Linked DNA regions of Mus musculus. The protein of the gene in region 1 interacts with the protein of each later gene in a biochemical or structural test. Links are inferred from orthologs where the notes say so. Each region holds a gene or a part of one and is shown on either strand. Other genes may lie near its edges. The genes, in order: Ube2d1, Trim32, Znrf1, Trip12, Cop1, Rnf8 and Trim39.

What was found.
Region 2: the proteins of Ube2d1 (region 1) and Trim32 form a complex in vitro, tested with the Homo sapiens proteins (4 studies listed by BioGRID). The link is inferred for Mus musculus from reciprocal best matches to the Homo sapiens genes UBE2D1 and TRIM32.
Region 3: the proteins of Ube2d1 (region 1) and Znrf1 form a complex in vitro, tested with the Homo sapiens proteins (2 studies listed by BioGRID). The link is inferred for Mus musculus from reciprocal best matches to the Homo sapiens genes UBE2D1 and ZNRF1.
Region 4: the proteins of Ube2d1 (region 1) and Trip12 form a complex in vitro, tested with the Homo sapiens proteins (5 studies listed by BioGRID). The link is inferred for Mus musculus from reciprocal best matches to the Homo sapiens genes UBE2D1 and TRIP12.
Region 5: the proteins of Ube2d1 (region 1) and Cop1 form a complex in vitro, tested with the Homo sapiens proteins (2 studies listed by BioGRID). The link is inferred for Mus musculus from reciprocal best matches to the Homo sapiens genes UBE2D1 and COP1.
Region 6: the proteins of Ube2d1 (region 1) and Rnf8 form a complex in vitro, tested with the Homo sapiens proteins (2 studies listed by BioGRID). The link is inferred for Mus musculus from reciprocal best matches to the Homo sapiens genes UBE2D1 and RNF8.
Region 7: the proteins of Ube2d1 (region 1) and Trim39 form a complex in vitro, tested with the Homo sapiens proteins (2 studies listed by BioGRID). The link is inferred for Mus musculus from reciprocal best matches to the Homo sapiens genes UBE2D1 and TRIM39.

The regions. Positions count from the first base shown.
Region 1 is NC_000076.6:71,257,613-71,261,346, forward strand, and holds part of Ube2d1 (ubiquitin-conjugating enzyme E2 D1), read right to left. Parts: intron 2,208-3,734; coding exon 2,130-2,207; intron 695-2,129; coding exon 589-694; intron 1-588.
Region 2 is NC_000070.6:65,603,336-65,607,905, forward strand, and holds the start of Trim32 (E3 ubiquitin-protein ligase TRIM32), read left to right. Parts: upstream 1-1,650; 5' UTR 1,651-1,734; exon of another isoform or gene 1,735-1,948; intron 1,949-1,980; exon of another isoform or gene 1,981-2,222; intron 2,223-4,570. UniProt on the Homo sapiens protein: E3 ubiquitin ligase that plays a role in various biological processes including neural stem cell differentiation, innate immunity, inflammatory resonse and autophagy.
Region 3 is NC_000074.6:111,535,193-111,539,627, reverse strand, and holds the start of Znrf1 (E3 ubiquitin-protein ligase ZNRF1), read right to left. Parts: upstream 2,989-4,435; 5' UTR 2,488-2,988; coding exon 2,064-2,487; exon of another isoform or gene 1,979-2,063; intron 1,327-1,978; exon of another isoform or gene 1,295-1,326; coding exon of another isoform or gene 1,162-1,294; intron 1-1,161. UniProt on the Homo sapiens protein: E3 ubiquitin-protein ligase that plays a role in different processes including cell differentiation, receptor recycling or regulation of inflammation. Mediates the ubiquitination of AKT1 and GLUL, thereby playing a role in neuron cells differentiation.
Region 4 is NC_000067.6:84,738,305-84,741,804, forward strand, and holds part of Trip12 (E3 ubiquitin-protein ligase TRIP12), read right to left. Parts: intron 1,353-3,500; coding exon 1,210-1,352; intron 531-1,209; coding exon 374-530; intron 1-373. UniProt on the Homo sapiens protein: E3 ubiquitin-protein ligase involved in ubiquitin fusion degradation (UFD) pathway and regulation of DNA repair.
Region 5 is NC_000067.6:159,325,997-159,329,839, forward strand, and holds part of Cop1 (E3 ubiquitin-protein ligase COP1), read left to right. Parts: intron 1-1,080; coding exon 1,081-1,205; intron 1,206-2,605; coding exon 2,606-2,766; intron 2,767-3,843. UniProt on the Homo sapiens protein: E3 ubiquitin-protein ligase that mediates ubiquitination and subsequent proteasomal degradation of target proteins.
Region 6 is NC_000083.6:29,628,166-29,632,008, forward strand, and holds part of Rnf8 (E3 ubiquitin-protein ligase RNF8), read left to right. Parts: intron 1-794; coding exon 795-857; intron 858-3,505; coding exon 3,506-3,595; intron 3,596-3,843. UniProt on the Homo sapiens protein: E3 ubiquitin-protein ligase that plays a key role in DNA damage signaling via 2 distinct roles: by mediating the 'Lys-63'-linked ubiquitination of histones H2A and H2AX and promoting the recruitment of DNA repair proteins at double-strand breaks (DSBs) sites, and by catalyzing 'Lys-48'-linked ubiquitination to remove target proteins from DNA damage sites.
Region 7 is NC_000083.6:36,268,497-36,273,023, reverse strand, and holds the start of Trim39 (E3 ubiquitin-protein ligase TRIM39), read left to right. Parts: upstream 1-1,590; 5' UTR 1,591-1,687; intron 1,688-2,246; exon of another isoform or gene 2,247-3,957; 5' UTR 3,958-3,962; coding exon 3,963-4,415; intron 4,416-4,527.

The DNA.
Region 1 (3,734 bases):
AAATGGGACAAGTCCCCAAATCTGTTTGCCATCCCCAACCCCAGATAGCCAAAATATTTTCACTGATATTTCTCTTGCTTTTTTTTTTTTTTGTAAAGACAGAAGGGCAACTATAAACAGGCTTACTAGAAAATCCCTAACTCTAGCAATTTTTAAAGATTTGTTTTCCATTTTTAATTATGTATAGGCTAGAAGATCGAGTCTCCTGGAGCTGGAGTTACAGGTCGTCGTGAGCTGCCCAACCCTGGCGCTGAGAACACTAAATCAGGACCTTTGGAAGAGCAGTATGCACCTGTACTTCATCAAGCCTTCTCTCCAGCCTTTAGTTCCTGAATTTTAAATCTCTGGTTTCATTTAGACTTGCCCATCTATTCATTTTCCCCCACCCCACCCGAACTCCAAAGTTTACTGAAAACCAGCGTGACTAAAGAGTTCTTAGAAAAAGCAATTATCAAAACAGAAGAAAACACAGCAGGTTGAGGTATTTTTGTTTGTTTGTATGATTTTGTTTGTTTGTTTGTTTGTTTGTTTCAACCGCTGGTCCCAATCCTCGCCATGCCTATTTTTAAATCCGAAAAACAAAATTACCTTTCGATACAGTCAAAGCGGGCGACCACTGGGACCTCAGGATGTCAAGACAAATACTCCCGTTGCTGTTTATATTTGGGTGGTAGATTTTTGTTGTGAAAGCAATCTAAAGATAAAATGGAACAAAAAGGGTATTGGTTGCCACAAATAGGAGCAAACAGAACCGATCCACTCAAGGGTAAAAGGCGCTCATCTTTACACAGCTTTGGAGCAGACTTGTATACGCGCAGCTCAGCCCCTGGGAATCCGAAGGAGACCAACTTAGCTTAAGCTCCTTTTCTCCTCCAGGCGTTGGGAAGTGTCTGGGGTGTGGTGAGAAGTCTGCAGTAGCCGGTATGATGGGCTGAGTGACACCTGGACCAATTACTCTGGCTTTCATCACACCTCAAAACATTTCTCTTAACCTGACTGTCAGTGATACCCAGAAGGCCACTTGGATCTATAAACAGGACACAGAATCTGTCAGGGCGGACGTGGGATGCCTCAGCTTATCGCCTGTCCTTGGTGAACCACAGAGAAGCCGGGTCTTGACAGAGCCACTGTTGTGTGACGTCATCCGTATGATTTTTAAGCTGGGTGGTTTTTAAAGTGCTATAATTATTTCCCTGATGGCATATAAGTTCCTTTCCTTCCTTCCTTCTCACCCCCACCACTTGCCTCTTCTTTGGACTTTAAACCTCAGAAAACGTGTTTTCATCCCCTTCTGCCTTTCAGTGTCCCCACTGTGAGTCCCATCGTGAGGGGAACATGATGAAGCTCAATGTACATTCACTGAATACTTAAGTGTAGCCTGTAATTATAAAAAAACAATAGAAAAAAAAACCCAAAATGATCCATGCTATGGCCAACTAGGCACTGGCAACTGAGGTCTCCCCACCCCCATTCAGGGGGCCACAGGGGCGGATAGCTTGGGAAGTCCAGAGTGGTTTTACCAAGGGAACCAGGGCTGACAGCCGCTTGGGGATCCCCTTGGGGGTTGGGGACATAGCCGTTGTGCAGCCAGCCATAGCATGATTTTTTTTTTTTTAAAGTACACACTACACTTAAGAAAGCTGGGTCTGTTTTGGAAAGGTAACATTACGGATGGAAAAGCCTGCTTTCCTGACTGTAAAAACATTCCGAACAACTCATATCTCACAAGGAGGAAAAGCCCAGGAGCCTAGCAAGCATAGGAAAACAGCTGACTAAGAAAGAGCATTCTAGGGACGGAGAGATGGCTCAGTGGTTAGGAGTACCGGCTACTCCTCCAGAGGACCTGGGTTCAATTCCCTGCACCCACATGGCAGCTCACACCTGTTCTGTAACTCCAGTGCCAGGGGATCCGACACCCTCGTACAGACATACATGTAAGCAAAACCCCAATGCACATCAAATAAATTAGAAAAAAGGAGGGAGAGGAGGCTGCAGGGGAGAACTTTAGACCTGGAGGTCACACAAAGGGGCATGCACTTGCTAACCTACCTATGGTCTGTGACGTCACAAGATCACTCTAGACAAACAGTAAAAATCCCTGCTATGGGACAGATGCACAGGATAAATACCTTTGGTGGTTTAAAGGGATAGTCTGTCGGAAAGTGGACAGTGAGGAAGAAGACTCCACCTTGATAGGCGCTGTCAGGCTGAAATTACACGAGAGGGCGCATCAGACTCTGGCCACGGCACATACTCAACCCCTCTGAATGGTCCCCGGGAGTTAACAGTGGGAAGGATTTGCAGTTTCTTCACAATTCCACCAGTATCAGCTTGTAAAAAAACCCCACGATTCTTGCACCATGAGTTGGAGGAATTTCTATGGAGAACAGGCTCCTTCCCAGGTATGAAGTTACCCAAGGGGCCCACCAAGTTTAAAGGGAAGCACATGCGCATTCGCACAGCGGTGTGCTTTAACCAGACAGATCATGGGTCGAGGCCTGTGGGGAGGAAGGAGGATTCTCTAGAGCAGTCATCGCTGGTTTTAGAAGGTTACAACTAATATTTACCTTTTTAAATTTCAAAATATTAAGTTCTAATGTCTACACAGGTACAACCAAAGGGAAAAAGTGAGTAAGAGGGTTAAGTGGGTACCATTGTATGATTTACCTCAATATTCATTTGCAAGTAAGTACTTTATATTATAGAAGATAAAACTCTAAAACCAAGCTGGATGAATTCAGTGTTCATGATATGTTGAATTAAGAATCAACTTTAGTGTAATGGGGTGTGTGTGTGTGTGTGTGTGTGTGTGTGTGTATGTACATGTGTGTATATGTATGTGTGTATATGTACATGTGTATATATGTATGTGTGTGCGCATATGTGTGTATATGCATGTGTGTGTGTATGTATACGTGTGTGTACATGTGTCTACATGCAATTTATATAAACAAAAGAGAAAGATTAAGGGAAAAAAACCAAAATAGTAGCAAAATATATTCCAAATTCTATTTTTTATAATTTATGTATATGAGTACATATATACCCATATTTTATGTGTATGACTATGATATCTTCATGCACACCAGAAGAGTGCATCAGATCCCATTACAGATGGTTGTAAGCTACCATGTGTGACTGGCATTTGAACTCAAGACCTCTGGAGGAGCAGCCAATGAGTGCTCTTAACCGCTATGCCATCTCTCCAGCCCCCTCAGATTGTACTTTTAATTCCTTCATATTTACTGGAGTGCATCATGGGTACTAAAAACATGTGTGTCATTCTTTCAATCCTTAAAGTTCTAAGATTAGAGGGTTATATTGTCTAATTATTCTCACTACGTTGCTTAATTCTAGTTCATTAAACATTAAAAAAAAATGTAAACAAATGACAAAGACAAGCATGGTCCGCATGGACAGTGGAGTGACATTACAAAAGGTGGTGGGGCGGGTCTACACTGCTGCAATAAGAGAGTCATGCAAAACAACATCCCAACTGCTTGTTACACATGATTCACCTGAGATGTGCCTCTGTGCCACAGCTCTGATGGAAGCACACTGTTGGATGATGGGGCTTTGAAGGTTCATGCAGATAGTGAACACTGAGCCGGAAAAGAACTTACGTTCTTATTGAAAGCTGCTAGGTAAATATGCTGCGCTCTCGCTTCTTAATAGGCTAATTTAGTCATTTAGGATCATTCCTCAGGGGCTCTTCTTTGAAATTCAGCATCTTT
Region 2 (4,570 bases), on another chromosome or scaffold:
CCTGAGCCCCTGAATTTCAGATGTCAGAAAGGGAGAGAGAGTGAAATGCTGTACTTTTCTTCTTTTTTGCTCCTAAAGAAATTCGGAATCAAATATGACTAACCATGGCCTGTATACAGATTCTCATCTATCCCAAATAACACACTCTACTGTGGAAAAGGCCTATGGATATTTATATTCACAGAACAAAAAACTCCTAAGTCTTAACTTAAATGCATTGTGGGGGATATCAGGTAGATGGGCTACAGCAAGATAGGGAAAGTTCTTTTATCTTTTCCGGATGTTATAACATTCTTAGTGGAAGCTCATAGTCTTCTAACTTTAACTATACATTCCAATGGTTTACCTTATAGTCAGAAGATTGTTAGGCCAGAGTCATAGGTTGTTAATAAATGGCCATTAAGAGAACTAAAGCTAGCCCAAGATAAATTGACTATGTGTCTACAATATGTTTTATCCTTTCCCAGTTCTAGGTATTTGGTCAGTCCATAGAATTGCCAGCACAGATATAATTTCTTCAAGGAACTTTGAGTCACATATTCTCTGGGAAAGCCTTGGGAGTTCTGGGTGCCTGGGTTGGCTCAGGGCTCTAGAATTATCTGAGATATCAAATTGTACTCAGAATGTATAATCAGGAAATCCGGCCAGGGATAAAATCATGTGAGAACTCCTGAATCACTGAGAAGAGAAACAAGTTGGAGAATGAATAGCCTGGTTCAGAGTTCCATCAAAATCGATGCCAGGTGTATACCGAACCTTGGACAAGATGTGTGGGACAGGGGCGGGAGTGAGGTGGGGGAAGGGGATAAATTTACTTTTCCCACCTTTCTGAGTTATTAGTAACTCATCAAAACAATCCTTAACTTTATTTTGAGATAAAGAAGTAGAAAAATGAAGTTAAGAGTGATTCTGGGAAATTAAAGCCAGGTTCTGACAGGTAGAAACTGGTTACTTTGCCTTTTAACCCCTAGGTCTCAGCTTCTTTTCAAAGTCTGTAGTCTGTCGGAAAGTGTCTAAAGGTATTACTGTTTTTGTTTTGTTGTCTTATCATTGTGCAGAGGGTACACAGCTAGGTGGAATTTCAAATATGAGAGCATAATATTTCAGATTCCTTCATATTCCTCACTAGTACTGTGTGTTTATCGCATTCAGGAGCAGGTATTACCTGTCCACAAACTACCTTCAGGACCAGGAGGTCCTGGCCACAAAACCTCCCGTCTGACAAGGCTCAATGCAGGCTTTTCCCTGTTTCTCCCTCTGCTATCCGCCTCTGCGCTGTTTGGCAAAGAAAACGTCTTTCCTAAGGGGCATGTGTTCAGTGACTCCACTTTGGGATGTGTCACAGGCAGAAACACCTAGCCCGGGGACCTGCAGCTCTTTGAAGGGAGTGTGCTTGTCTTCTTCAAAGAGGCGTCTGTCTGCAAAGTGCCCGAACTTTCTGGAGACTACTACTGGGGGATTAGCATTGACTAACCATGTTTAGACTCTGAAACGGGGCAGAAAGCTGCAATGGCCTAGGTTTCCGGAGCCATCCCTATCTATTCAGCTGGGCCGCGGGCGCTGAGCCCACAGACCTACAAGCCCCAGCATGCCTCGGGAGGCGGGGCAAGTTGACGGGCAGGCGACTGTACGAATTGGCGACTGCCATGGGAAGGACGTGCTAGCGCATGCGCAGAAGGCAGCGGGCGGGTGGGCTGGCAGCGGTGGACTCGCGTCGGAGCTGCGGGCGGTCAGGTAGGGGGCGGGAAGGAGGGTCTGCGACCAGGGACTGTGGTGGGTCGCGGGGATCCAAGATTGAATGGCAGGATTTGGGGACTGGATCGGAGTGGCAGGATCGGATTCGGAAGGGACGGGCTCAGGAGCGATTCGGCGGAGATGAGATGCAGCTGGGGGAGGGGAGCAAAGGGGCTGAGGAAATTTGCAGTTGCAGCATGTCGGGAGGTATGAGGTAATGTGGGGGCCATGCGGAGAGACGGGGTGCAGCATGTGGGAGATGGGAGGATCTGACGTCCCTGGAGGTATCTGGGTGCAGAATATCAGAAAGCATAAAGGAATTTGGCAGGCCTGGATGAGGTTGGGTGTTGGCGGGCAGAATCTTAGGGGCTTTGAGGAGATCGGTGTAATGATAGCAAGATCTGAGATCAAAACAGCCAAGGTCTTGGAAGATCCTAATTGCTGAAGAGAAAGGGATTTCTGTAGCGGAATCTGGGAAAGACTGAGGGGTGAGTTCCCGAGGGAATCAGTACCCAGTTAGAAAATCGCAGCAAAGGTTTGAAGGCAACACGTGAGGCAGGACGGGGGCGGAGGTGGGGGGCGGGGGTTGGAGGTGGCCCAGTACAAGATGGGGATGATGGGCAGATGAGCGATCAGATTGAAGGAGGGCAGAAATCTGAGGTACAGGATTGGAGTTTGGAGATGGCATACAGGGGTGATAGATGTGGGAATTTGAAAATAGATTAAAGGATGTATTGGAGGGATGAGGGACACATAAGAGCTATTGGTGAATTGCAAGGCTGCAGCATACAGTCTAAAAGGTTGAATGATAGATTTGGGATTTAGCGTTGAGAATGAGGTTTGTGGAGAATGAATGGTGGGGAGTGAATGCTGTAACTAGATTATAGAATTCAAAACCAAATGAAATTTGTGAGTAGGTTCTTAGGAGGTTTTTGTTTGTTTTTGTTTTTGTTTTGGTCTTGGCATAACTGAACCCAGAGGGTCTTCTGGAGACCCAGGGACCTGAAAGTAATTTATAAATAAACTATGTATAAATGAATGGAATTTAGGAGAATGTAAGGGTTTGGGAATAAAGACACCAGTCTTCAGAAATCCTGAAGGAGAGTTTGACATTCTTTGAAGGGCAGATTCTTCCTCACTTACTAACTAAAGGCCCTTTAATCCTGAGGCAGGCATGTATTCTGACTATACCCACTCTGACCACCCCCACCTCCTCATCACAGACCCGATATTATAGGCCTTGGGGAAGAAGCAGTGAACTACCTAAGGGCTTCTGCTACCTAGCCTTTTCCCTGTCCAAGGTATGAGCCAAAATGATCTTCAACCTAATATTATCTTATAGGAGGTCCATTATAGCTCACAGAGACAATGGTTCTGGGTGAGAAACAAAACAAGGTTGGAACAAGGCGGAGCCTCCTGTCTACTGAGTATTTAGCCTGTGCCATTACCTAAAGCCAGGGTTCTCAGACAGGGTGCTTTTGTTCTGCCAGGAAACATTTGACCGTGTCTGGATGGAGGCATTGTCAGTTGTCATAGTTGAGGGGTTGTGTGTGTGTGGGGGGGGGGATACTTGGGGGGGGGGATACTGGTTTCTAGTGAACAACCCCTACAATAAACTATCATTTAGCTAGAAATGGCAGTCATGCCAAAATGGGTCCTGGCATCAGAGTCAAGAATGCTCTGGTTAGATCCTGGCATTATTTATTTATTTATTTGTTTATTTATTTATTTATTTATTTTTCTCTTTCTGCTTTGTAACCTTTAAAGAGTCAATTGACCTCTCAGTGCACAAGCTCTTCAGGGACCTACGTCATAGAATGGCTGTGAGGACTCAGTGTACTAAATCAGGGTGCTTACTGTTTGGTGCCCAGTAAAAGTGCTCAGAATTTACTACTTTTGAAAATATGTGTGCTTTCTTCTCATGATATTCCTTCTAAATATACATTCACTGTTCAGTGTTACCCACGAAACTAAGGCTTAGGAGGTCACTTGTCTAAAGCCACATTCCTGCCATGTAGCTCCCCGCCACATCCTCTCTTCCATTGCTGGTTTGCTGCGGTCGGCTTGGTCTTCCCTTTGCAGCCTCTCCTAAGGAAAGGGAGGCTTGCCCCGTAGTCAGAAGCTGGGTGACTTCTCTTGATTAAGAGAAGCCCTGGACTTTGTTCTTGCTTTGCTCTTAGACCAGAGCCAATGGGGAGATAGTGCAAGGAGCTTGGAGCTACACGGCTGAGATAAGGAGGGCTCAGGCTCAAGGGCAGTGCTAGACGGAAGGAAACTGCTCTGAATGTTCTCCTTTGTGCATCTTGTCTCTGGCACAGAAGGGCAGCATTGTCTTTATCAACTCCAATCCTAGCTACGCTACAGAAGGCAGTTTAGAGAACAAAATTAGACTGGAGCTGAGGGCAGAACACTTAGCTGCGATGACATCAACTCAGATCGCTTAGGAAAACACCTGACGGAGGTTGAGTTGGCCGTGGAATCGGCTGTTTTACTGCTTGCTTGGTGGTCAAGCACTTGCCAGCCTCTGTCTGAAAACACAGCGAGCTCGGCTGAGTGCTGATTAATGTGCATTCTCTCCATAAGGCCCACAATCTAAATGTTACTCCTGATTCTACAAGGCAGAAAGTGAAGAGCCACTTGTTAAATGACATATCCTGGGTTACAGAGCAAGTGGCTAATTTGGGCATATAAATCAGAAGTCACATGCTGGCAAGCCTCCTAGAGTGCACCCTCCTGTATGCAGATGGTGTTACCTTTGGGAGACTTCTTCCATTGTGCCTTTCTGATAGAAAGGTATGTTTTAAAAGTCATTCCTGGATGAATTTACCAACCTCTA
Region 3 (4,435 bases), on another chromosome or scaffold:
CGAAACAGCAGCGTCTCTCCTTGCAGCCAAGAACAAGAGAAAAGGATGCCCCAGAAAATTCCACGGCCTGTTCTAACACTGACACAAATGAATGCTCACCTCTGCTGAACAGCACAGGCAGCTCACAGTCAGACTGGTACACCCACCCCAATAAAAGCCATTTGGGAATTCAGAGGCAGTATGAGGTGAACTGCAGGATGCCAGGAGCATTCAATAGGCCCAGAGTCTTGCAAAAAGCACAGGTGGTTCTATATACTAAAAATAAGTAAATATATACAAATATTACCTATAATGTTAACAAGAGCCTGCCACGTACACTTTAAAGACACCCAAAGGATGACTCTAACTTTTCTTGTATTCCCATCACTCAGTGGGACTCCCTACTCCCGTGACTGGGTGGGAGTAAGATGGTGGGGAGAACACTAAGCCTTCATATCTGGAGAGTGTGAGATATTGGAACTCAGTTGTAAGTTCATAACTCTATCAGAGAACCTGACAATAGAACAAGGATAATGAAGTTTCTATTAAGAGACAGACTTAAGAAATCTTACCAAAACGATAACTCCTTTTCTCCCTCCCCATATAAGCTTTTATAAAGGTATTTGCTTGCTGCACTCAAAATTGTTTTAAAAGCATGCCAATAACAGTTCACTTACAAGTGTACTCATAATCGTCTCGAAATAAAGCTGAGACTTCTGGACTCAACTATTTAGGGAAGATTATTAATTCCAACATGCCCAACACAGACCAAATGACTAGAGGGTACCAAAAGCAGACATGCCTTGTGTCTGATGTCCAGCATTTTAGTTAAAGTCAAAGAAGCTCTAAGCCAGCCACTATAACCCACCAAAGTTACTTCAAAAATTATGGAATTGATCAAAAGAAGGAAAGATACAAAACCAAACAAGACAAAACAAACCCTACCTTGTTTTGCAATGAGCTACAACAGTGACCTCACAGGTAAGCCCTCCATAATGGACCCTGAGGACAGGAGAATGATTTCTCCTACACAGCAACAAAAATTGCCCAGTTCAGGCACAAGAGTCTGAATACTTAACTGCTTCACTCAGACTGGTAGTTAACAAGCAGCAACCCCACACCCCTTTTGACCAGTTTTCTAGAGGCCTGCCCTGGCTTCTCAGGACAGCCAAGCAGACAGACCTGTTTTCCTGTAGAAGTCTCTGCCAGGCCTTTGCTGCCCTACCACCAGCCAGGGCCTGGGAAATCCCCCTCCAGCCTTTTCCTGGCCTGTCACCAGAAGTGCACAGAATGAGTTCATCTCCATCCTTTCCATCTTCCTCTTCCCTAGTCATGTGCCAGCTGTGGGGCAATACCACCCCACCTCTCCTGGGCTCTATGAAAAGAAAAAAAAAAAAAAAGATGCACAATCACGGGAAGAACAAGCACTTATCGTGGAGCAGGGGAAAAAAGATGGAGGGATGTGAGAATCCCTGAGCCAAATCTACTGCATGCAGACCAGAATCCTGGTCCTGCAAACCCAAAGACGGAGGCTTTCCACATAGCAGACCACACCTGTCTAAGCCAGCCTCCTGTTCCATTTTAAACAATTGATACAGCAAACCAGTCGGGTGGAAAAACAAACCACCTCCCTTTCCTAGCGAGAATAAGAACCCTAATCCAAGAATCACTCGCCCCTAGTTTTATTTCTTTTCTCACTCTTTGTTTAGGAGACACTACCTCCTTAACCAGAAAGGTAGGTACCATGCTGCAGCGGCAGAAATGAAGAGTCTCAGACAAGAAGACCTTTGAGGATCATGACGCTAATAAATGCGACCTCAATAGGCAGGTTTCACTCAGCCATCCACAAGTGAACACATGCCTGCAGTCCTAAGGTACCCGGCTCCACACGCCTAGTAGGCAGCTTTCCCCCTAGGCAGTAGTTATCTTATTTGATCCTATTCATCCTCTGACATGGAAGGAACCAGGGGAAGGGCAGGAGTTAGCTTCATACCCATACCTTAGCACATTAAGAGGTTTCGGGCGCCCCGGCGCGCCCTCCCTTGCACTCCACCCTTCAAGGCCTCCGTCACCCGCGGACTCACCACTGTGCGAGCTGAACCACCTGGGTGCGATGTGCAGAGGTAGAGCATCCGCCAGCGAGGCTCGGGAGCCCAGGTACAGCATCCCGTCTCTATGGTGACCGCCGCCGGTCTCTTGGTAACCATTGCCGTGGGCATAGGTGGAGTCCGACGTGGACCCTCCGCCGCCCGGCGCCCTCTCGGAGTCGCCGGTCCCGCGGGAGGCGGGGGTGTAGAGACTAAAGGGCACCCCTCCGGCCGTGCTGGGGTCCATGCCCATGCCCGCCACCGAGCTGACCGAGCGGCTGCGCAGCCCCATCGCCCCGCCGCCCGTCCGGTAGTGCCCAAAGTGGGGCGCCCCTCCCGGCGGCGGCACGGCGCTGTCATCCGTAGAGACCCCCGGGAAGGGGCCCCGAGAGCGGGCCGCCGTGCTCTGCTTGCCCCCCATGTTCGCCGGGGCCCCGGTGGGGCGGGAACGTGGAGGCTGAAACCCTCCCCCACTACTCAGAAGCGGGTGGAGGTCTGGGCGAACATAAAGGCGGAGGGTTGGGGTTGGGGAGAGTCACAAAAGAGCCCCGAGGGGAGAAAAATGAAAAAAGGTGAGGGGGGGAATCCTCAAAAAAAATCCGCGGGGTGGAAAAAGCAAGCGAGCGGGGACCCCAAACTAAGAATTTCAAACTGTCCAAGCCGAATGCATGTTCCCCTTAAGGTCCGAAGAAGCGCGGTCCAGAGCCGGCGCCTCGCGCCACAGGCCGCCCCCGGGCTCCGGAGCCTAAGGAGCCGCAGCGAAGGGAGGGAGGAGCCGGAGGAGGCCGCTCGCCCGCAGCAGGAAGCGGCGGAGGCTCCGGGCGCCGCGCCGTTCGCGTCCCCCGTCTCAGGACTCCTCAGCCCGCGCCGGCGGCCCTCACTCCTCCAGGCTTCGGGAGGGCTCGCGGCGGTGGGGCAGCCAGGCGGAGCTCTGGAAGCCGCGGTCGCGTGGCGTCGCGCTCCGGCTCCAGCCGCCGCCGGCCCCGCCAGCCAGCCGCACCGCCCCGCTCCGTCCCGGGCTGCGCTCGCCGGCGCTCCTCGCCGCCGTGGAGACAATGGAGGGCGGCAGAGCGCACGCGCGGCCCGCGCCCCCTCCCTCCTCCCGCACCCCCCCCCCCGCCGGGTTAACCCCTTCGCGGCCCCTGCGGCGCAGCAGCGAGCTGCGGCCTTGGAGGTCCCCACCCACCTACCGCCTGCGCCCCGGGCGGTCCAGGGACAGGACGTCTCCAGCCGCCGGGCGTCTGCGACAGAGGTCAGACTTCCTCTGGATCACAGCTCTGCTGGAGTCGCGGCGAAAGTCGAATCAATGTCTTCAAAACGAGACCCTGAGTGGGGGGAGGGGTAACGACGGTTTTAGCGGGTAGGAAGGAAACACCGAGAAGAAAGAAAAACCAACTAATAAAGCCTACCTGGGTTTGAAGGGTCACTGGGGGAGCTCCCCTCCCGCCACAGACCTGCCCTCACAGCACCCTCTGGTGGATATGCTGTCCATTCGTTTGGAGGTTCTCCATCCAAGGACCCCAGCCAACCTTAGGAAGTTTAGCATGGGGGGCGGGGGGGGGGGGGGAGGAGGGAATCAGCTTGGACCCAAACACATTTGGGATTAGCTGTTAGGAGATACAACAGTGCCCCAGTGGCGCCTAGACTTTGCTGTCGTTAGATCAGAACCAACTATTTGGGTCTGAATCGATTCCTTAGGCTAGAATATAATCCTCAAAATCAATAGGTGGATTAAAAAAAAAAAAAAAGTAAGAACCATGCAGCGGGAAAGCTGTTTTAGAAACTCCTTGCCCAAGGCCGATTGCTGTTTTGTTTATCATGTATTTTGACATAGAGCCATATTTTGACATAGAGCCACAAGGCAAGGGCACAGTACTCAATAAATATTTGTTGACCAAATTGCATTTTGCAACAGAGACTCACCTTGCCAGGTCAGTCCCAGTCTTTCTCATATTTTCACTTTGCTTATTCTTTGAGCAAATAATTTTTCAAGTGCTCAGCTCTGAGCACCGTAAGCATCACCCAGTCACTAACCTGACCTTCTCTTGTCACTCTGTCAAGTGGGCTCCGTGCTTCCGAAAATGGAATTGGAGGGAGATTTAAAGGGGCTAATAGACTTGTCTCTTCCAGTGTGACTAGCCTGGAAGGCCACAGAAAGATGGTTGTTTGCAAGCACAGAGTGCTGGGGGTGAGCTAAAAGCTTCGAACAAGCTGGGCAGTGGTGGCCTATGCCTTTAATCCCAGCACTTGGGAGGCAGAGACAGGAGGATTTCTGAGTTCGAGGCCAGCCTGGTCTACAGAGTGAGTTCCAGGACAGCCAAGGCTATACAGAGAAACCCTGTCTCGAAAAAAAAAAGAAAAGAAAAGAA
Region 4 (3,500 bases), on another chromosome or scaffold:
TGGGAAAGAAGACATTAAAGTCTTAATAAACATGGTAACTAAAGAAAGAATGTTCCAAAAAGAAGAAAAAAAGAAAAAAGGAAAAAAAAAAGGCTAGAGTTTTAAGAAGGTAACACTTTTAACATATGAGTGATTTTTAAAGAGAATGACTGAATTAGCAATTAAGAGTTCTTGCTACTTGGTTCCCAGCCCCCACGCCAGGTAGCTCACAACCTCCACCTGAAGTAGACCTAATACCTTTTCTTCTAGGCACATACATGAACACTCAGGCATACAGACATTAGGATCAAGTGAAGGCTGTGACTCCACAGGCAAAATAGGTCCTGCCTTTACTTTGGAAAGATCAACATAAATACTCTTGGGAAATACTTACTTTTTTTCTATCCAATCTAGGCGCAACTCTGCTGTCTTGAGAATCAGACTGGTTGATTTCTGGGTTGGTATCAAGTAATCTTTGCATTGCCCGGTCCCGATCAAATGCAGTTACATAAAAAAGCATTTGTCGGGTATCAAAAGGAAAGAAAAATGGGCTATAAAAGATAAAATACAAATTTACCATCTAGGTGAGAATCAGAAGACATTTTTAATCTATATTGGACACAACATCTAATATAAACTCCTAGCAAGAATAGTCCTCTTAAATCTCTCATGTGGACAGGCCCATGGTGGCGCACCACTGCAATATCACAAATGTTTCTTCCTGAAATCCCACATACAAAAGGTAATGGCTTTAGTATTTCATGATCTTCACCACAGGCTTAGCACTGGAAAGTCATTGTCAAGAACTAATCTCCCAGCATTCCAACAGTGACTTTGAAGGGTTGATCCATTTTTTTCTTTTTGTAAAAAGCTCCTGAAATGCTAATTTAAATGTGTTTGGTACAATGTCACACCATGTAGATATGGTGAATCCACATAAAAACTATTTCTAACTTGATTTTACCATAATTGGTCTATAGTATCTAGTTCAAACAAGGCTAAAAAACAAACAACAACAAAAAGCAATCATGTATCTGCAGTTCCATTTTTACAAAGGCAAAGGACTTTACTGCGGTCAAATATCCTTCAATGGGTTCAACAAGTATTGTTGTCAACAAGTATTATAATACTGGTAAAGAGCTGAACAAATCAATTACATCTTTTCTACCACAAGTCATGATAAAAGACTATCATGTTAATATTTATAAGTTTATCAAAGGACTGTCTTACCAGGTTTTTCCTAGCTCAGTGAGCCATGTTGGGATGTTTCCTGTCATGATTACTAGAGGGTCTTGAAGCTGCCTATTTGCTTTTGCTGTTAATTTACTGTTAATAAATTCACTAGTTGGAATAATCTCCTTGCACATCGCATTCTGTAAAATAAAATAAATTCAAAATCTCTTTCTATATCCATAAATGGGTTGGTCCATAGCTTTCATCTGTTTTTAAAAACAAAAACATACAATACCCGGTTCCTCAATGGTGTTTCTGATTTCTGAAAATTCCTACATCAAAACCTCATAAAGCTATTCCCCTTCACTATTCCCACACTATGTATTTAAGAAATGAGGTGTTCAACTCTTTACATGAAGAAAACGTGTGCTGACTTGATTTATGTCAACTTGACACAAGACATCTGAGAGAACCTCAACTTGGTTTTGGTCATGGTGTTTCACCACAGCGACAGAAACTTAAGAAATTGGTACTAGGATTTTGAGGTATTTCTATGCTAGACCCTGACCTTGTTCTCTTTAAGGGGACTGTGGAACGACCTTTTAAACTTTGGGTTGAAAAAGCCATTGAGCATTCAAACCCTGGTGATCTGTACTGTGGAAGTTGAAGATAAAAATGTTGAGAAATACAGAGAATGTAGTTAGGCCTCGCTTGTGAAATTCCAGAGGAAAGTTTTGAGAGAAGATTACAGACTTTATCAGGTCCATTGCATAATTTGAATTAAGAACCTGTGGCTCTTATCAGCTAGGGCTAAGACTCAGCTGTGATTAACAAGATACCAGTACCACTGAAGTGAAACCTTTGCTACTGGGACAACAGATGGTGGCTAGGTGGAGCTGTAAAATTAATGGTGATGAAAAAACTAACATCACTGAGATGAAATCCTCTGAGGAAGTGTTTCCTTGGAGTGAGCACACAACAGCTGTGTTCCAGAGGTGACCAGGGTTATACCTTGAGCTGGCAGCTGAACTTGGTAGTTTAAGAGTCACCCATGTGGTACTGGTTTTGAAAGCAAGAAGGGGTCATGAAGAGCAGCTGAGGTCTGGCACTATGTGGCAGGACTCAAATTGCTGAAGAGATAGTGAAAGTATATCACAGTTGCAGAACTCCCTAACATTTTGAAGGTGCCAATACCATGGCATAAGAACAGCAGCAGCAGGGAAGTGGAGCTTAGAAGACATGCAGTGTTTCCTGCAGAGGAAACCAGAAATATGACTCCCTTGAAGGAACTCCAAAAAACTGAATGAATCCCAGATTTTGGAAACTGAGTTGTTTATAGTTAAGAGTTTGATTTTGCTTTGTTCAGACTGTGGCTATGTCCTCTTGAAGAGAGAAAAGTATTTAAAATAATTTTGATTTCAACAGGAGGTGACAAGACTGGATTTTTTTTCTTTTTCTGTCGTGTGTGTGTGTGTGTGTGTGTGTGTGTGTGTGTGTGTGTGTGTGTGTCTGTGTGTGTTTCTATGTGTAGCCCTGGCTATTCTAGAACATGCCCCTTAGACCTTAAACTCAAGAGATCCTCTGTGTCTGACTCCTAAGTGCTAGGATTAAAGGCATGCACAACTTCCACCCAGCATTTTTAAAAGACTGAACATTTAATGTATTGGAATTTGTAAAGGCTATGGAACTTTAAAAGTTACTTGTTTTATACTGTGATGTTAACATGCAATCTTTGGGGTGAATAAGAATAAAAAATGGTGTGCTTTAATAGTGATATGCCTTTGTGTCTAGTTTTATGCCAACTTGACATAAGCTATCCTCATCAGAGAGGAGTGAGCCTCAATTAAGAAAATGCCTTCATAAGACTGGGCTGTAGGAGGACAAGCTTGGTGGCATACACCTTTACTCCTACCACTCAGAAGTAGAGATACGAAGATTTCTGAGTTCCAGGCCAGCCTGGTCTACATAGTCAATTCCAGGGTAGCCAGGCCGTAATGAAAGACCCTGTTTCAAAAAAATAAAAACAATGAAAAAATGAAATATGAGTTGGAGACATAGCTCAGTGGTTAAGAGCGCTGATTGCACTTCCTGAGGTCCTGAGTTCAATTCCCAGCAACCACACAGTGGCTCACAACTATCTGATGCCCTCTTCTGGTGTGTCTGAAAACAGCAACAATGGTCTCACATAATTTAAAGACATGATTTAAAAAAGAAAATTCGGCTGCAGGCAAGCCTGTAGGACATTTCTCAATTAGTGAGAGATATGGAGGATGGGGGTAGGGGTGGGGGTATGTGATGTCTCAGTCCATCATGAGTTTGGCATGGATTCTGTTAAGAAACAAGCAGGC
Region 5 (3,843 bases), on another chromosome or scaffold:
AAACAGATTAAAGTGCGTTTCTTAAAGATTTAGTTAGTTAGTTTATGTATATGAGTATTCTGCCTACATGCATGCCAGAAGAGGGCATCAGATCCCATTAGAAATGGTTGTGAGCCACTATGTGGTTGCTGGGAATTGAACTCAGGACCTCTGGAAGACCAGCCATTGCACTTCACCTCTGATGTCCAACCCCTAAAGCACATTTCTAAAAGACCTCAAATGCTCAAATCAAACCGTTTAGATCTTGGAATTATTCACTTACAGCCTTGTGAACCTCAGTTTTCTCATCTCCAAAATGGGGCTAACAATAGCACTAAGTTTTTTAATCTTTAATAAAGTAGGTAAAACCTGTATCGAAGTGTCCTATTCAGTGATGATAGATGTAATTAAAAAGATTTAATTATGTAGTCCTTAATATATTGACATATTCCCTTAACGAAAGTATAAGAAAGCAAATCAGTATGGGAAAGCAGTTTGCAAAATGGTATCAGTTTTAAAATTGCCTTTGTCTATTAGAATTACTAGTGATTTTTTTTTTTTTCAAAAAAAGAGGTTGTTTTGGGTAAGCAACTAGATTTATATATTCTTTGAGCACAATAGACTGCATCATGTAGCAGCAACAATACCTCTTACCTGTAGGGGATAGCATGAAAATAATTTATGTCTACTGTACCAGTAACTCACCAGTTGACAGATCAATCACAGTGAGAAGCATGAGGGTCTCCCTGAAGTGAGACACATCTCTCAGGGCAAAGTCTAATTATTTATTAATGTAATGGTGGGATGCTGGGATTGGACCCATTAATGCTTGCTTTCTGCATACCCAGGCATTACTGAAAGCATGTTAAACGAGTTCGGTTTTTACAGTGTTGGGTTCATTTAATTCTATAAAATAGATCATCATATGTCATATTTCACTGTTAAAACTGGAGCCAATTGGGACAAGACTCAGATGATACACAGGCACCACAATCTGCCTTTTTAACCACAAATCTAGATTTTTTTTTTTTTTAATTCCTAGTGGTGATAGTTTCATACCATGAAATCTAAAATTTTTACTCCTCTTTGTATTTTTCTCAGCTCAACAGACAGCCAACTAAAGCTGTGGAATGTGGGAAAACCATACTGTCTACGTTCCTTCAAGGGTCATATTAATGAAAAAAACTTTGTAGGCCTTGCTTCCAATGGAGATTATATAGCGTGTGGTAAGTGCACTTGTATTTTTAAACAAACTCTGCAAAGACGTGTCCTAGCAGTGTTCACTGCAGTCTGTGCACTGGGAAGGCAGCATCACAGCCTTGATGCTGAGGACGGTGTTCTTTTCTTTTCTAGCCATACTGGGGAGAATTAGTTTTCATTTCTGCAGATGAGCCCTGTATTCATAGACTTGCCAAAGATTTTCACTGCCCTCTTGTCATTTTAGATATGCCACAGTTTCTGTAGAAACTATTAATATCTGCTAGTAGTATTTCAAGAAGACATCTTTTCAGAAGCTTGATATTTATTTTACCCTCTCTAGTGTCCTTTTGATGTAGCAGTCGTTTGACTTGCATGAATCTAATTCATGAGTTTTTATTATAGAGAATTTGTGCAAATTTAAATGGGAAGTGGAAAAATTCAATTTGCTATTGTTCAAATGTTCTGATAGAGTAAATGAACTTCTGTCAACACTTTTAAATGATATTGCCCTTATTCTATAAATTGTATTTTCTCCAAATATATGATCTTAAATACCACCAAAGTAAATATGCAGTACAATTATCCTCAGAGGCTCCTGAAGTGTGTCAGCTTGACTTCTCATCTGATAGGGTAATGCTATGTGGGGAATGGAGAATCAGTTTGGGCTACTCAAATTGGTCTGTTTTTGTTTTTGTTTTTTTGGTTTTTTGTTTTGTTTTGTTTTTTGAGACAGGGTTTCTCTGTGTAGCCCTGACTGTCCTGGAACTCACTCTGTAGACCAGGCTCCCTGCCTCTGCCTCCCAAGTGCTAGGATTAAAGGCGTTCACCACCACTGCCTGGCTCAAATTGGCCTTTTAAGAACTACAACCCTAATTTTCCTCTCTTCATGGTAATATTTACAAATGCAGTTTAGGATTCTTGTTTCAGTAAGAAAATTCTAATGCACAGAGCTCTGCTATAAGTGTTTTTTTAAAATATAAATTCTTTTCAGTTTTAGAATTATCAACACTGTAAACCATTTAACAATGCTTATTTCTTTAAATTAGTAAATAATAGTTGTACCTTTTCTCCTGTAGTTCGCAACTAATTGGTCTTATAATCTTGTCTTTCAAATGTGAATATAAAAGATAATTGGTGTTTTTAGTAAAATTTAGATAAATAATCACTGTCTAAATGTTGTGTTTGGGAACTGGGGCTAGAAATGAAGTTCACTGTAGCTAAAAGTCTTAGATTCAGTTTCCAGCGCAGAGTGATAGAGTGTAATTCTAGTTGGCCGTGATGGCCATACACCTATGATCCCAGCATCTGAAAGGTAGAAAGAAACAATTGTGAGTTTAAGAACAATCTGTGCTATATAGAAAGACTCAAAGACATATTTATGCAATCTAAGTTTTCCCATTCTAAAACAATTCCATTTTCTTTTTAGGAAGTGAGAACAACTCCCTCTACCTGTATTATAAAGGACTTTCTAAAACTTTGCTAACTTTTAAGTTTGATACCGTTAAGAGTGTATTAGACAAAGATCGGAAAGAAGATGACACAAATGAATTTGTCAGTGCTGTGTGTTGGCGGGCACTATCAGACGGGGTAAGTTTTCATATATGTATTTTAATCATGGCATTTTATATAATGTTTATGAGTGCACGTAATAGGTTGTTTTATTGTTTTTGTCTTGGATTTTAAGGTATAGCTGGGTAAATGGTTTGGTTTTCTCTTTTTTTCAGGCATCACAATGCCTGGCGGGGGCAGTGTTTTTATAGTTAGTATAGCATTAGTGTACTATTAGTGTCTATTCGATGACACTGATGTAGCCCTTAACAGTCACTGCTGCACACTGACTCATGCTGAGCAGCTTTCAGTCTGGAAGGTTCTCTCAGTGTCATTGCCAGGTATAAATATAAATAAATGTAAATATAACATGCCATGCATCTTCTGTACCATATTTTAGCATAGCATTTTATATCTATTTGTATAAACAAACACTTAATTCTAAGTATATCACCAGTCTCCTTACTACTTAGTATTAATATAGTAGCATATAATATAGATTGTAGTTTAGGAGCAACAGATTTTATATATATCCGGGGACAGAGTTGGGCTGGACAATGGAGCTTTGCATAAGTACATGATGTGATGTTTCCACAACAACAAGATTAATGAGTAGGTCATTTCTTAGCATGTCCTCACTTGCCTTAAGACTTGACAGAAGACTCTCCAGACTAGGAATGAGCTACACTCAGAGAAGTTGGAGTCGAGTGTTCCTAAGCTACACTGCATGTGTGACTTTAAGTGAAGAAATGTGGTCTAGGGTAAAACAGTGAAAGATAAACTGTCACATTGGAAATCAACTTCAGATCCTGTGAATCCCTGAAATTGACTGAGGGGTCCTGGACTGCTGGGGCCCAGAACACAGACTTAAATTATCTATAAGAGAAAATTAACATACTTACTTTTCTCATTTATTCTTTTGCTTTTTAAAATACAGTAAGCAGGGCACAGTAGCAACTAAAGAGGCATAGGAAATATAAGACAAAATAACTAGAAATTCAGCATAGCCACACACAACAGAAACAGAATGATGGCAGCTCTGGATTACAGTTAACTCGCCTGTCTCACAGTAACCATGCTTATAAAATGAAAGACGTGACGAAAAATTTCATTTGG
Region 6 (3,843 bases), on another chromosome or scaffold:
CACACCATCACTGAGCAGAATTCTCTTTAAAGGATAGTGGGTTCAGAGAGGAGAGTGACTGGGATTAATATCCATGGCTACTCTGTGCTGAAGGGACAACTGCGAAGTCTTTCCTGGGACTCAAGGTTAAAGGCAGAAGAGACTGGTTGAGATGCATGCCTGACGCTGCGTGGGAGCTCAGCTCCCTCTGCCCTCACGGTAGCCTGGCCTGACATTGGGTTTGGAATTCTGCTTGGTATTAAAAACCCAACTTTTTTTAATCATTAAGTAATTTGTGCTCCCTATTAGCACATTGGAAGAATGGTTGGCTGGCACATCAAATTCCAAATGAGTTGAAATCCCCCACCCTGTAGGTAATCCCTAAGAACAGAGACTGCCTGAAAGAAGCTGGCGGAAAGGCAGCGGAGGCTCAGGCCTGGGCAGAGAGTGCTTGGAGAGGGTGGGTGGTGCAGAGGGACAAGACAGGGAAGGAGTGTGGGGCCAGCCTTGGGGATGTATCTGAGTTTGGGTGTTTGTGGCTCTGTTCTCAGACTCCATTTATTTGAGTATTATGGCAATAAAAGCAACTTAGACTGTCACCCCGTGGTGCTTCAGAGCTGCCGGAAGCCCACTCCTGAGGCGGGTGATGGTAGTGGAGCAGATAACTGCTCGCATCCCTTGCTGAGAGCAGTTTGAAGTAAACTGGGATCTTCCTGCCCGCTTCCTGCCCCATGTTCCTTGTGGTGCCGGCTCCTAGGTTTTGTTATCTTACACCCTTGACTGCAGAAACCTTCCATTTCGTTTTGGCTTTTCAGGGTTTGGAGAAAGAGCAAGGAGAGTGCGACCTGAAGCAACAGCTGGTGCAGGCCCTGCAGGAGGTAACATAATCTCTACCCTTTCCTTCCAGAGGCTGTGGTGGTTGTGAGTGGGGAGCAGCTAGGCACCACATGGCCACTAGCTGCCTCTGCCTCTGAGCCACTCATCTGTGTTACCGCCAGGCTGCAGACAGAACAGGTGCCAGGTGCTCACACCATCAGGCTGGAGATTTGGAGCTTCACAGATACACAGCAGATCTCAGCGTGGAAGCTTACGGCTTCATCAAGGCACCACCTGGTGATGACAGAAGAGCCTGTAGACGCTCTCTGGGATGGGGACTCTACTTCCAGATTAGTGAGGGCAGCAGTTAGCCATGCCTGGGCCTTAGGGCCCGAGAGAGCCTGTGTACCTCACCATTCCTACACTGTGGCATCCAGAAATCATTCAAGAGGATTCTCCTCTTAAAAAAAAAAAACCCATTAACAGAATAGTGCTTGCTCCTTCTGGTGTGAAGCTCTCCAGCAGACTGCCAGTGGTTTATTTCACTGAACCCTAGTGTTGGGGCCGGCCAGCAGCTCACGTGTCCGGGTTCGAGCCTGAAAGGCATCTTGGAATCTGGAAGAAAAGAGGGAGCCTAGGCGGATTGAGAAATAATGGAACCAAGACAACTATTCTGCTCAAATTTGAACTAGGTTCAAATTTTTAATGGTGGACAAGCTTTATAAAAGACTGGGGAAAGTCCATTCCCGCCAATTCATCCTTGGAGCCTGGAACCAGCTGCAGGTGATGATGTGAGGGATAGGGCGTAGTCTAATAGCTGCGGGGCCTCTCAGCTGGTAGCAGTATCTTGAAGAGGAACAGCGACTGTGGCTCAACAGTCGAGTGATCTAGGGAGGAAGGCTCCACCCTAGATAATCTCCCTAATGGCTGCAAGGTCAGGTTCTGGCTCAGCCTGCTTCAGGTTTATGGGAGGCTACATCCTAGGGCTTGACAGCCTTTTATGTGCTCCTTATACCTTTAAATCTTCCTTCAGCTGGTTATGGAAGCACACACCTTTAACCTCAGTACTCGGAGGCAGAGGCAGGTACATCTCTTGAGTTCAAGGCCAGCCAGGTCTACATAGTGAGACCCTGACTCAAAAAACAACAAAAACTTGCTTCATCTCTGAGCTTTGTGATCAGTAATTTGGTGGATTTTCGGCCGAAAGGTTAGTGAGATGGTTAAAGTCTCATTGAGCACAGTGAGCGGCTTACATATAATTTGTTCAGGGTTCTCTCTGTTTGCTCATTACAGACCTGTCAGCCTTATCGGTACTAACAGTTATGTGAGAGGGAACCTGCCTAGATTTGCTTGTGGGCAGATGCATAAATGGCTTCAGAAATAATTAGGTGAAAATTCTATTTGGATTTTATTTATTTATTTATTTATTTATTTATTATATGCAAGTACACTGTAGCTGTCCTCAGACACTCCTGAAGAGGGAGTCAGATCTCGTTACGAGATGGTTGTGAGCCACCATGTGGTTGCTGGGATTTGAACTCCTGACCTTTGGAAGAGCAGTCGGGTGCTCTTACCCACTGAGCCATCTCACCAGCCCTGGATTTTATTTTTTAAACTTATCTACTTCATGGGTTGAAAGGATAGGCATTGTTCCCATTTGAGTATTTAAATATATGTTTATTTTACTGTCTGTGTGTGTGTGTGTGTGTGTGTGTGTACAAGCATTCACATGGCACTGGAGACTTGGTTGCCAGCACTCAGACAGCTTACAGCCCCTTTAACTCCAGCTTCCGGAGACTGGATACGGTTTTCTTCCTCCCAGGTCGTGTGAACACAGATGGCTTATACTCATACACACACAGTAAATAAAGACATTGTGTGTGACCACGGGTGCTTGTGTACCACAGTATGTGTGACGGGAGCTTTGGGGAGTGGGTTTCCCCCTTCTCCATATGGACTCCAGAAGTCAAACTCAGGTCTGCAGGCTGCACTGCAAACACCTTTACCCAATGAGCCAGCACACTGGCTTCCTAGTGGGTTTTTTTTGTTTTGTTTTTTTCTAGACAGGGTTTCTCTGTGGAGCCCTGGCTATCCTGGAACTCACTTTGTAGACCAGGCTGACCTCGAACTCAGAAATCCGCCTGTCTCTGCCTCTCAAGTGCTGGGATTAAAGGCATGTGCCAACACTGCCCAGCGCTTTCTAGTGTTTTTAAACTACTGCTTAGATGCTTTGAAACTGGCCAGAAAGTCAGGCTTTGCCCCTCTGTGAGGAAGGCCTGGGGTTTTGTGCTCCCTTGTAGCACACCGCACCTGTCTCGAGGCTTGGTCATGCAGTCACGCATCAGTCTGAAGTGGTATCGGGCATACTTTCTGACCTTGTCTGACATCGTGCTTGTGCTGGTGTGGATGACCCCTCTGAAGATACTCTCTTTTTCAGACTGCTAGAACTGTAGAACCCATAGTCACAGTGACACCACTGCTGGCTCTTGGGCGTGCCAGCTCGTAGACGACAGTGGCTGGTCTAATCGATCTGCTGTCCCCTCTCCCCTGTCCTGAGCCGTCCATCCTGAATAAAAGAAGGCTGGTTTTGAAATTGTCATCACTGGTCCCTAAAGTAAAGCGACCGAGCAGAGGGAGGAAGCAAAGGTGTATGGCTAACAAGAGGGTTGGGACGCAGCTCATCCTGATGGCTTACCTGCTCTTTCTGTAGCATCAGGCTCTAATGGAAGAACTAAATTGCAGCAAGAAGGACTTTGAGAAAATCATTCAAGCCAAGAACAAAGAATTGGAGCAGACCAAGGTACGGGATGGAGGACAGAGTGCAGTGCCTGTGGCCCAGCATTCTGTAGAGTGCGTGGTTGCTGTGGTGAATGCAGACGGTGTTCCTTACCTCTGGGAGATAATCTATAGTTACTCACTGTGAGGCAGCATCCCTGTCCTTCTTTGGACCCTGCATGCTAGCCTTTGTCTAGGGCGGAGTCTCCATTCGAAGCTGTCTGTCTCCCCATCAGATCAGTAGAATTCTTAAGTTATATGTTGCAAACATCA
Region 7 (4,527 bases), on another chromosome or scaffold:
CACCTTTCTCCGTCTCTACTACCCTCTCAAATCCCCTCCCCATTCCCTGAATAAACTCTATTCTATACTATGCCATCGTCATCGTGTGGCTGGTCCCTCAGGGGGGAGGGATGCGGCAGCATGGGCCTGCAGAGGCACCCCTCCTCCCACACCTGACTACACCTCCACCAAACACACTCCTTCTCTCCTTATCTTTTTATAAAACACAACAAGGAGGCCAATGTGCAAGTCTGGAGTCTATCCATAAGCTCCATCTGCTCTCCCAGAGAAACTTAAGCAAGGTCTTCAAAGAGAAAGAAGCAGGCTTTGGTTCCCACCCAGTGTTTCCTGAGCACAGGATTTGGTCCTCCTGGCATCCTAGATGCAGGGGCAGCAAAGCACCGAACTAGACCGGTTTTCTACACTCCAGCTCCAGCCAGGGAAAGCGTTTCGCTAATGTCAGCTGTGGTGGCTACTCCTGGTGGTCAACTTGACTATCTGGAAGGAATTACAACCCAGAATTGGAGGGCTCACCTGTGATCCAGATCTTGAGGCTGGAAGACACAAGTTTCTGACCTGGATCTTGACATGGAGATCTTGAGGTACAGTGGCCATTAAGTTTAGGACCAGGCAAGGCAGTACACGACTTCAATCCCAGACTGGGGCAAGGAGTTCTCTGAGTTCAAAGTCAGCCCGGGAGAAAGCAAGTCCCAAATCCAAACAAGGTGGTGCACACCTTAATCTGGGCCACGCCTTCTGCTGGAAGTCTACATAAGGACATAGGAAGAAGGAAGATTCTCTTCTTCACGGGCTTGCACTTACTTGCCAGCACATCTGTCGGAACCTACTTCTACAGAAGACCAGCTGAAAGAACTAGCCACGTGGGACTGCGCAACTACTAGATTCTTGGACTTCCCATCCACAGCTGCCCATTGTTGGGTTAGCCTGTAAGTCATCACGATTAATTATAGAGAGAGAAACATTCACTAGGTTCTGTAGCTCTAGAGAACCCCTGGCTAATACATCACCCAACCGGAGGAGGGGAAAAGACGCACCTCGGTCTGCAGCCAAGATAACTCACCTACTACAGCTTGCCGGTTAAATTGCCAAACCTCAGCCAGTCGGAAGTGACGTGCCAGCATAGACTCTCAGGTCGGCCACGTAATACACCGCCGCCTTAAACAGCAACCCTCCCCCAGAATTGACCCGGAGACCGGGAAAGTGTGGCCCAACGCCCACAACCCGTAGCCGCCCAGGCCTCTGCGGTTCCCAGCCCCACCGAGGACCAGCTTGAGCCTCTGCGGGCTCGCTGACCGCGCAGCTCTGCCAGCCCAGCCACGGCGCGCTGCCCGCCATGGGGTTCGGCGTCTCGCCACGCGCATGCGCGGCCCTCAGTCTCCGGGGGACCGCTCTGGTCACCTGGGCGCCAGCACCTCAGCCACGGGAAGCGGCGGGTTCCCTCTCGCCCGGTAAACTAGCCGCGCAGGCCCTCGCCTCCGGCTCTCCGCCCGCCACCCGCCGCGGGCCCGACTAGGCCCTGGCACGGCGGCTCGGCGCCGCGCAGCTGTCTTCCATCGCCGCAGCGCGGCTTCCGCTTCCGGCGAGTATTGTGTGTCGCGCCGCGGGGCGGGGGTGAGGGGAGGAGGAAGGAGGGAGGCAGTGCTCCGGCGGCTCCGCGCCCGGCACTCCGGGACCCGGAGCCGGGAAGGTAGGTGCTGCGCCGCCGCCACAAGGGTCCCGCAGCCGGCTCCAGCGAGCGGGCTCCTCTCGCCGCGGCCCTACGCCCGGCGAGTACGTCAGCCGGCCGGCGCGCAACCACAGCTGCCTCCGCCCGCCTCGGGCCCGGAGGACGTTTGCCGCCCCGGCGACGTCAGCGCGTCCGGCGTTGCTTGGCTACCCCGCCGTTCCCCTGTCCCGCTGCCTTTGGTCTCCCCGGGTGAAACTGACGCAGTCATCGCGGGTCTGGGCTGCGACATGGCAGCGGGCATCCCACCTTCACGTCACACCTCTCCCTCACTTAGACACGCATCCGTTCCTCCCTGCCAAGCACGACGTATGCTCCCTCACTCTGGTCCTCATGCTCCCGATATGGCTGGAGAAGATGGAGAACGGGTGGGACAGAGTTGTGGCCAGTGCTTGAAAGAGGCTCCTGAGGTGGTACCCAATAGTGATTAAAGGCAAAACGTGGACGTCTCTGACGCGATTACTTACACTGAGATCGAGTAATGGAGAGTGGGAGGAAGGATCAAGCCAGAGGAGCACAAGGCCATATTATGGCTGCCCTCTACACCACCACCACACCACCCCCAGCTCCAAATCCTCTCCGTTCTTCACTATCCTTGAGCCCGTTTCTCTCTCATACCATCTATTTGCTAATTAGATACATGCAGGTCTCTCAAGTGTGAATATGGTTCAGTTTTAGGTGAGGATGCCACTTATCTGTAGGATTGAGGAGGAGGAGGCTAAGTCACTAGTCAAAACTGGATTCTAATGGGCAGAGAAGAAAGAAATCATCCAACTGTACTTATCTGGATCAATTCTTTTCTCCATTAAAAGAGGATAAGTTACCAACTCCTACTTAAAATCCTTCCATTTGTACCACCAGTATACAGAAATAATCATTGTTGCCCCAATTCATTACATGGGCACTTTTCTGTCGATGGGTAGACCTATCAAATTTCCTTCCTTTTTGGGGGGCCCCTTTTGGGACAGAAGGAAAGTAGGGGGTTATGGGACCAGATAAATTAGCTTACTTATGTATTGACATCTTAAGAATGGAGAGCTTTGGTTGTCTCTTTCCATACACTTATTCATTTATTGAGACCAATAACTATTTATTGGTTATATTTAATTTAGGCTGGCCTCGAGTTCCTGAGGCTCCTGCCTTTGCCTCCTCGGTACATGCGCTACCTACCTAGTATTAACCATACCTGGCTAATTTCCTTCCTAATCACTGACTATCTAAGGAGTTAGTTATCAGTAGTGACGTTGAAAGACTGCAGTCACCACTGAATGTTTAGAATGTACTTGCCAGCTCTCTCTCCAAGAAGCTGCTGCCCTCAATGCACTCAATGGTGCTTCCTTAGAGCTGATATGTATTTGTTGCTTTGCAGCCATCCCAGCTGCACACAAATAGAAATGCGGTGAGTGACAGGAGCATCTTCAAGAAGAGAGCGTTCTTCCTTTGGGCTAGTTTGGGGAAAGGAAGAACCATGTCATGCTTTCCCTGAAACAGTGTGTTACTGTAGTGTAACTCATTAAGAGGAACAGCAGACAATCAAGGCTAGACTCTAAAACAATAAACTTCCTATGACGTTAGAAGAAGTAGCTTGGGGTTCTTTGAAATCGATGCAGTAATTATATATGAAGTTCTTTAAAGTAGTAATGAGTTCTAGGGCTGATAGTCAGTTTTAATAGATATGTAGATATATTATTTGTTTTACAAATCTTACTCTACAGCCCAGGCTAGCCTTATTCTTGTATTGATCCTCCTGCCTCACAGTGAGCCACCATGCCCAGCTAAAATCTTAATACTTTGGCTTATGTGACATATCTCATTTCCCATGGTTCCCTCCCTGTAGAAATAAGATCTGTGTAATTCAAGCTAACCTAGAACTCATTGTGTAGCCTACGTTGGCCTTCAGCTAATGACAGTCCCCCTACCTTGACCTCAAAAATGGCTAGGGAAATGGGTTTCAGTCGCCATATCAGGCTCCTTTTCATTGCTGGTATTGAAAAAGCAGAGGTAAAGAAATTCTGGGCACTGCTGATATTTGCTGACTCAAAATAATAATAAAATAATAATAACAGTGATGGGGAGAGGTCACACACACTGTAAATAGACCAACAGATGAAAAGGTGGAAATGGGAGAATACCAAGATGGGGCTTCATCTAGACCTATGGCTTACTGGGAGCTAATGTCAGGAAACAAAATAACCCTCCAACTAACACTTCTTTCCTCTCTCCCTGCCTCCAAGTTATAATGGCAGAGACAAGTCTGTTAGAGGCTGGAACCTCTGCAGCCTCCACAGCCGCTGCTCTGGAGAACCTGCAGGTGGAAGCAAGCTGTTCTGTATGCCTAGAGTATCTGAAGGAGCCAGTTATTATTGAATGTGGGCACAACTTCTGCAAAGCGTGCATTACCCGCTGGTGGGAAGACCTAGAGCGGGACTTCCCTTGCCCTGTCTGTCGGAAGACATCCCGATACCGGAGTCTCCGGCCTAACCGACAGCTAGGCAGTATGGTGGAAATCGCCAAGCAGCTCCAGACGGTCAAGCGGAAGATCAGAGATGAAAGCCTCTGCTCCCAGCACCACGAACCTCTTAGCCTTTTCTGCTATGAAGACCAGGAGGCTGTCTGTCTGATATGTGCAATTTCTCATACCCACCGGCCCCACACCGTCGTGCCGATGGATGATGCTACACAGGAATACAAGGTAGGCAGCCAGGCCCATGATGCTAGGGTTGGGGGTTGGGGAGGGCAGCTGAGAATATACTCTGAGTAGTCCCTTCCTGACTGTATACATCTGGTCAGTTGTCCTCCATTGA